Linked DNA regions of Drosophila melanogaster. The protein of the gene in region 1 interacts with the protein of each later gene in a pairwise test. Each region holds a gene or a part of one and is shown on either strand. Other genes may lie near its edges. The genes, in order: tara and CG5762.

The links.
Region 2: the proteins of tara (region 1) and CG5762 interact in a two-hybrid assay, tested with the Drosophila melanogaster proteins (one large-scale study listed by BioGRID).

The regions. Positions count from the first base shown.
Region 1 is NT_033777.3:16,223,834-16,228,673, forward strand, and holds the start of tara (taranis), read left to right. Parts: upstream 1-1,817; 5' UTR 1,818-2,582; coding exon 2,583-2,606; intron 2,607-4,840.
Region 2 is NT_033777.3:24,359,947-24,363,334, forward strand, and holds CG5762 (uncharacterized protein), read right to left. Parts: upstream 1,738-3,388; 5' UTR 1,606-1,737; coding exon 1,192-1,605; intron 1,134-1,191; coding exon 945-1,133; 3' UTR 759-944; downstream 1-758. Other genes in the region: CG18528 (uncharacterized protein), read right to left, coding at 1-120; CG33339 (uncharacterized protein), read left to right, coding at 1,901-2,295, 2,351-2,395, 2,454-2,525, 2,581-2,763, 2,812-2,928, 2,991-3,120; CG33340 (uncharacterized protein), read left to right, coding at 3,328-3,388.

The DNA.
Region 1 (4,840 bases):
TTACATAGAAATACGCCTTTTAAATATTTCTAAAATAAAACAAAAATGTTTAAAACATATATTTTTGGATTGTTTGTACAGATATTATATTCATCTTTAGAATTTCCTGAGAAACGTAGAGCTAAGGATTTAAGCTCTTGTTTTCCATACTATTTACAGCAATATACATGGAGTTTTTTATGAAGTTTCTAGAAATTATATTTGTTTTCAGTGAAAATGGCATTTTCAGCGATTGGCGCTCGAAGGCGAACAATGAATGCCACAGCCGCCAGAGTGGCCAGCATCGTTAAAGCTTTAACCGACTCCCCTTTCTGCTAGCCTCCCATTACCACGGCGCTGTCCCCTCTTTCAAATCCCCACAAAAAAAAACCCCTTTTGCCAATTTCGAGGCTGCGCTGCGTCGCACAAATTTCAATGCGCTCTTGCCTCGAAACGGTGGAAAATGCGCGTCCGTTGTTAGTCGGAAAACGTCGTCATCCGTCGACGGTTGTTTTGGCTGCCTTTGGACCAGGAGTTTTCCGCCAGCAGAGGCAGCGACAGAAGCAGAGGCAGCGACAAAAGCAGCGACCACGACAGAACTAGAAATCCGGCATTACACTCAACAAAAACTTTTGCTAAACCAATTATTCATGAACTAAAAAAAAGCGTTTGCATAATGTCCTAAATTTATGAACAAGTTTCATATAACTTAGAATATTTCTACCTGATCAATTTTTATCAGAATTTTTAACCATTTTATTATCCATTCTTGTTTAAGTGCGGCTTTAGCTTTTGCCTTGGCAGCAGAAACTTCGGCTCTTCGTTCGGCCTGGCTCTCATAAATGACATAGAGAGAGAGAGAGAGGAAAAGAGGGAGGTGGATGACGGTTGGTAACTGTGGGAGAGCGTGGGCCAAACAAAGAGCCACCCAACTCTCTCCTAAGCACTGGGTGTGCGAGTGTGTGTGTGCAGCGAAGCAAGCAAAGCAATCAGCAGTCAGCGGGGTCGGAGGGTGGGGAATTGCTCTCGTAAGTGTGACTGTGTGTGGGGAAAGAGAGCCTAGCCACCCAAATCGCCCACTTTTATCAGTCAGCAAAAGGTCGTTCGGCACTGTGGTCGCTTCGCTCCGCAGAGCACCTGACTCACTGTCAACTGATAAAAGTCGCCGATATCAGGTGCGACGTTATGCCACCAGCCTTTGCAATCAGAAAAGATGATATGAGCACTTAGGATCGTCTTTGAACTGATTCGAAATAAATTTATTTGATCATCATTTAAAACTACATATATAAGAGATATTAGATAATTCTATGATTTCTTTTAAGGACTTAGTAATTTAGGATCGTTTGTACAAACTTTGCAATTTTATTTACCAAACCCACACGTATACCGATCCTCCGAAAAATGTATTTCTGTTCCGCCTCTTACCAAAGTCATTAATAAGATGATTTTCGCTATATCAATCATACACGCCCTGTTACCCTTGCAGAAACAAAAATATGGAAATATTTGTAGCATTCAGTTTTCATCTTACAAAATCGTCAATAATCTGTTGGAGATCTTTATTTATTTACAAAGCCAAAAAGAGGAAGTTTAGTTAGGCGCTTACGTTGCGTATAAGTTAAAGGAATGGTTGTAAATTCTTCACAAGCTGCAGAAGTTCGATTTCCAGCACAAAAATATCGATCCCCCATTATGAACAAAGATCCAATATTATCGATACATCTGTGTACTTGGCTTCGTGCAGAAACCGTTAGGCGCCAATCACAATTATCGACTTTATGAAAACGAGCAAAGCGGCCAAAGCAAAGCAAAACCCATACGAGCTGAGCTGAAGCAATCCGAATTGAACCGAGCCAAGGCGAGTTGGCTTTGTTTGTTGGTCGGGCCCACTAAAATAGTTCAGGAAATGATGAAAACGTGGAGCTGGGGCGAAGCAGAGAGGGCGGAAGGCATGGTACATTGAAAGCATTGTGGGTCTGAGTTTTGGTATTGGGATTGGAGCCATGGCTTTCGCCCGATTGTGTCCCAGCCTGGTGGCTTTCCACAGAGCAACTGAAAATACGAAAATTCGAGGCGGAAAAGCTGGCAACAACAACGCGCGCATGTGGCAGAGTTGCCAAAGCGCAGAGAGTTTTCCAGGCGCGGCGACGGCAACCCTGGCCACCCGGCTGTCGAGTGTGTTGGCCAGGCCGAAAGCATTCAGTACGAACTCTGCACTTCGCACAACAAGACGCCAAGCGACCAGCGACGACGACGCCAAAGGCGCTCGGCCAAAGCCACAGAGCCCGAGCAAAAACTACGTAAATTTTCCACAGCGATTTTCCCCATTTTTCCCAGTTGAACAACAGCGCCAAAAACAAAAACATCGGACCAGCGGTCTGCATGTGTGTTTGTGCCAGAGCGTGTGTGTTTTGTGTGTGTTATATAGTGAATCGTTCTTGGCCCGACGATCGACTTCCCCATCACCCTCAAACCCGCAAACATGTGGAGCTGGGGCTAAGGAACACCACGGAACCCAAAACAACCAGCGACTCAGAAAAAGGCGCCAAACTTAAATTATTGCCAGCCGAGATTACCTCCTCAAGACTTCGCAGGAAACCATGAAAATGTGGACGGAATCCAATGTGAGTAGATCGTGATAAGGCCTTACTATGGCTCACTCTATAAGTACCGACCTTGATCTTGTCCAATGATATTGGCCATCGATTGGTTATTGTCATCGTGTTTGTTCTAGCTCTAGATGGACTACACTTGAATCTAAATTGAAATGATCAAATTTTGATCAGAAAATACTATTTCAATTTTGGTCCAGCATATAATGTGATATCTGAGCTGAACTTACGACATATAATATCTAATAATGGTATTTTTAAAATGTAAAGTGATCGTTCGTAATTTAAAGCTATGCAATCTAATTATAAGAAAATATACATTTCCTAAAAATATTAGAAATATACCAATGTTTTTAGATTTGATTATCAATCATATGGTTGTATGGTGTCACCTTATTATTAACATTCAGTTTCCCTACATTTATTGGCTTCATTCTTATCACATATGTATGGTTCATTGCGGTGTATGATATGATTGCATTTGAGTACACATGTGAGGTGCATTCGCTATCTTTGTTTTGATTCTTGAGTTTCTTCTATCGGCATTTACGCTTTATGCGCTTGTTTCCTTTGCCGTTTACCGGCGAATCCAATTGAAAAGTCATTTGGCTACGGCCGGGAAATGTTCAATGGATTGGCGTGGGGCGCCACGAGGGGTGAGCATCGGGGGGTCAAGGATGGGTGCCTCCAGCGGAGCAGCACGCACATCCATGTGGGGCATTTGTAGTAGGCACGCACAGCACGCGTCGTCAGCTAGCCATTTGCTCGATTCCCTCGAATCCCCCGATTCTCGATGCCCGATTCCGATTCAGATACGATTTCCATTCCCAAGTTGGGGTCTTTCCCGACAAGCCCCCATCGCAATCGAAGCCAAGTAAACAAAAGCCAACAACATCAAGGTTTTTTCTCCCTCTTTGTTTTCTTTCTTTATTTCTACCGCTTGCAGCAATTAAATGAAAGTTTTTGTGATGATGGATGATGAAAGGGGGGCGGTGGGTGGTGCGGACGTGATGGTGATTGTGGTGGTAGAGGCGTAGAAGCCGGCGAGCAAAACAAAAACGGCAAAAATGTCATACACGTCGAGGGGGTGGCAATCGCATGGGGCGGTGCGGTTGGTTCGGGGCATGTAAAGTGCATTGGCATTTAAGATTCTTTGCAGGCTTCACTTCCAAGTTCCGCAAACAAATAAAAACCGAAGAGGAAATACATTTTTGAAATAAACTTGACCCACAATTGGACAAAGTGTTCGATGCAAGATATGTAGATATGCCGGCTTTGAGAAAAATGTTTGCTACCAGGAATTTGTCAGGTAGCAATTTATTTAAAAATGTTAAGACAAAATAATATTCCCAAACTTTTTAGTTAATAGTTTGTACTTGTGATCAAGCTTGCATATGTATGTACATACGTGCACATTCTTTAATGGGTTTTTGGTAATGTTACAAATGTGTAATGTCAATTTTTTATTTGAGGTGTTTAGGTAAAAGAACGGGTAAATGAGGTATATTTAGCCAAGCCTTGGAAAAGTCTGTTGTTAAAAAGTCAACAAATTCGACCGCTCCACATAAATGATTAACAAGGGCAAAGGTCGTAAAACGGAAAATCAACAATAAATACACGTACCAGTCCCCTCTTACCAATTTACGCACAAACACACACACATACACACCGCAATGGAATCCACTTGTCCTTGACACAGTGACGTACCAAAGTCCGAACGTTGTATAATAATAGCATCATGACTTGCGCTTGTTCCGCTCCTTTCTGGGGGATGGCAGTGGGCGTGGCACCCCGGCAACTCATTTTCATTATCGGTCCCATGCAAATGCCCGTCGCATACCTTAGGTCAGTTTCCGTATCATAAAAAAGCCCGGATACGAAACACATTCACGGGGAGAGGGGCAGCAGCCGGCGGCGGACGAACCCTTTTTTCCGGGCTATAAATACAGGCAAAAATCTCTAACTCGAACCGCAAACATGTGGTGAATGAACAATTGCCGCCATTGGGAATTCGAGTTCTACATTTTATTTTGCGCATTTAAAGAACGGTTTTTGTATTCGTATTTCATTAAAAATATGTTACTTCAAAATTAAAAATATTTAAAACTGATTATATGAGTGGCATAAAATCTTAAAAACTTGTAAACTTTTATGCACTGTGCATAAAATTCTGTTATTAATATGTTTTAATGCAATTTCAACATTATCGTTAACATCATCGTTTGCACATATGTAGATGTTTTAAA
Region 2 (3,388 bases), 8.1 Mb from region 1:
GATCACGGACACACCGCACTTGACATGACCGGAACTGAGGCTGTAGATGGTGCATCCGCTGCTGGCAAAGCGCCGGAAACTGCCCAAGAAGCTCTGGGACGCGTTTCTGAGAAGCGCCATCGCCGAAAAACAATTAAATCCCAACCGCCGAATAATAAACAATTGAACGTGATATTAAGTGTGACCGCGGAATGGCCGTTACAAAAATATATCATTCCACTCGGAGATATATACTAAAGAATTGTGCGTAAACAATTATGGAGCGGTGGTAAGCTTGGGTAAATCTCCAGTCCCGACACAAACCATTTTGACCGAAATATGGGATTTGAAACATGGGAACGTTTTTTATTTATTTCTTTGTTATTTGGATAGAAAGAATTCACTTTTATTCAATTAGACAGAAGTAGTTTTTGTAATTTTTTGTCAAATAATTATCAGATTTTTTGTCAAAAGCGTTGGAAAATATCGAATGACATATCTCGATGAACTTGTAATTAAGCCCTTAATTGGTTGGAGTTCAAATTTGGTAATTTTATTTTTTTGACGTTTTTTGAAAAAAATAGACGTTGTTACCCCTTATAAAAAATGTGAAAATAGAAAAAAAAAAATTTTTTTTTTTATTTCACCAAAAGTTGATAAAAATAATAAGCATTGGTAAAAAGCTGTAAGAAATAGTTCTTATTAAGTCTCTGAGACCAATTTTAGCCAAGCTGTGATGAACTTCTCAAATTCCCTCTCCGCTTTTGACGAAGACAAATACACTTAAATATTTTATTAGTAACAAATATCACATCTAGTGCAGATGTGTTACATTTTTACAGTTACATTTTCGGATTTGGACGCTTTAAAATCTGATGCCTTCGACACTATCAATTTGATCAGGCTACAAGAATGAGCGATTGCTAGAATTTCTGATGCGAATACAACTGTCAAATATAAACGGTTTAGAATAAGAACTGACGTTTTCGGGTGCTGTAGGCGTTTGACAACCGGAGAGATACAATGGGTGGTGGACAGCTATCGGTGGCACGAGCAAATTTGTTGCGTTGGATCATCGCCGCATTGGTGTCCCATTGGTTGATAAAGGCACGGGCCTCGTCGTCACATGGCTTTGCCGTACTCGGTCTTTCTTCCTGCAAAAAAGATTATTTCAAATTGATTTTTGTTTGAAATATTCCAAAAAATAGGCACCTGGGCTCGGCGGCGTCGAGGAGCCTCAGTTTCCATCGACTCCAGAAAGTCCCGTCTACGATTTCGTTTGGTCGCCACACTGTCCGGGAAATTAACCCAGGTGCACTCGTACTTGCGCTTCTCCAGTTCGCGCGGATGGTACTGCTCGTTATCGAAGCGTTCCTGATCGTCCCCGACCGAGATGCGTCCGTGGCCCTCGTCCTGCTCCCACATGGAGCGTCGCTTGTTCTTCTTGTACACATCCGCTTTCTCCCGCTCCCTGAGTATCTGATCGTCTGGCAGGTATTGGCTGCCCACTCTGGGCCGCTGGGAACGCCTGGCAATGTGACGCGTTGAGGCGCATTCGATCCGCGCACGGAGGAGCTCGATGCAACGGTTCACCATCATCCGAGTGCCACCGTGGATGTTAACCATTCTCGGAAGATATTTTTTTTTTTTTTACAGTTTTAGAAATTTTATTAAAAGAATTAGGGAATTGTGTAAGTTTTAGTATTGGAATGCCAAAATGTAGCCTGCTTCCAAAGAGGCGGCGTGTAACGAACTGAATCCGCTCCCAACAAATCGAGGTGACATGTAAGGTGCGTACGAATCAAGGCACACCTGATGCTGTAAGTCGGCTCACCTTTCTTAATTAGCACTGTTCACCTGGCGTTAATTTTCCACGACTAGTATCTGTCACACAGATCAGTTGAGTTCTCAGAGTGGCGGCATGAGGTCTACGATTTTGGTACTTCTGTTGATCGGAGCCATTAGGGCGGCTATTGGGAATCAAACCCATCTGGTGGGCTCCTCTTTGGAGAATCGCATTCTATCGCGACGGGTGCGTGCTTTGGTTTTTCCCGACAAGGCATCCCTTCTCCTGACCGCCGCCCTAACCAAACTAATTTTGGGCGGACGACCAAGTGGCCTTCAGTACAGCTTGGAGTTTGATATGTACGTTCCGGTTCCCGACACCATTGAGGGTTGGCAGCCCAAGATCCTAAAGAAGATGAAGCCAAAGCCAATGTCAACGCCAAAACGCCGGTATGATTGGTCATATAGCAAAAGACCTGAAAGCTATTATCCATACTATGCGGATCCATATAGAAATGCTCATTACGAAAGGTAAAGTATATATATTTAACCGTTAAAGAAATAAATTCGAAATTTTAAGTTTTAGTCCTGCTAACAATCATAGAGTTCCATTCTACCAAGCAACATCGAGGTAAATTATTATGAATTACTTTCAAGAGGTAATAATTACAAGTTCAATGTCCTACTAGGGATTCATTTCCCCAAGCTTCATGGCATTCATCCTCGCCCACTAATCGCAGGAAAGAGTTTTATACATCGAGGTAATATAAGATTAATCATTTTGAAATACCCTAAAGTGGCTTTAAAATATTTCAGACCCTCATTGAATAGGGCCTCATTCTATCATAGCCCATGGAGCTTGTCTGCAAATCAGAGAAACTCATATCCACCGGAGGAAGAAGTTTATGAATCCTGGGATCAAGTGCCTAGTTGGAAGTTACATCGTGGATACAGAGAACGCAGAGAGATTTTCGATCAACTCGAGGCCATGGGAAAAGTGTAAGTCTTAAGTGATCCACAGAATAATTTAAAAGAACCTATTAATAGTTTTCAGTTGGACCTAAGGTCTTGTATCAAGAGAGCCATGTGTGAACTAAGGGCCAAGTTAAATGCAGGTCAAGATCAGGGATTCCTCATGGAGGATCTAATGCGAATTGTGCTGACGTAAGTAAAATAATTCATTGTCATATATAATGCCATTAAAACCATAATAAACTATACTTCAGAGTTCCCGAAGAGGTGGCCGATGATAAGTACAGGCATCGCATGGATAACCAGGACTGTGCCCGATTCTACGCCCCAAGTTGTCCCTACAATGTTCTAGACTTCCTTACCCAAAGTGGTGCAAAATTGTAAACATAGTGAGCCGAGAATCGAACTTCCGCCCCAAGTCGTTGTACTGTGATTTCGGATAACCCAGAGTCATCAGTTCTCATTCCGTTCTCGAGCTGGATAGGTCTCTAGCCTCCCAGTTTCGTGTTCGCAAAATTCCATCTAAATTTCCGGCCCAAACCTTTTGGAAAATATATTTCGGTTAAAAATTCAAAATTCCAGAGCTCAAAAATGGCACTGAGTGTTAATCCCTCCCGAGTACTGTTCCGTCCAATTTTTGGTGCGGTTAACA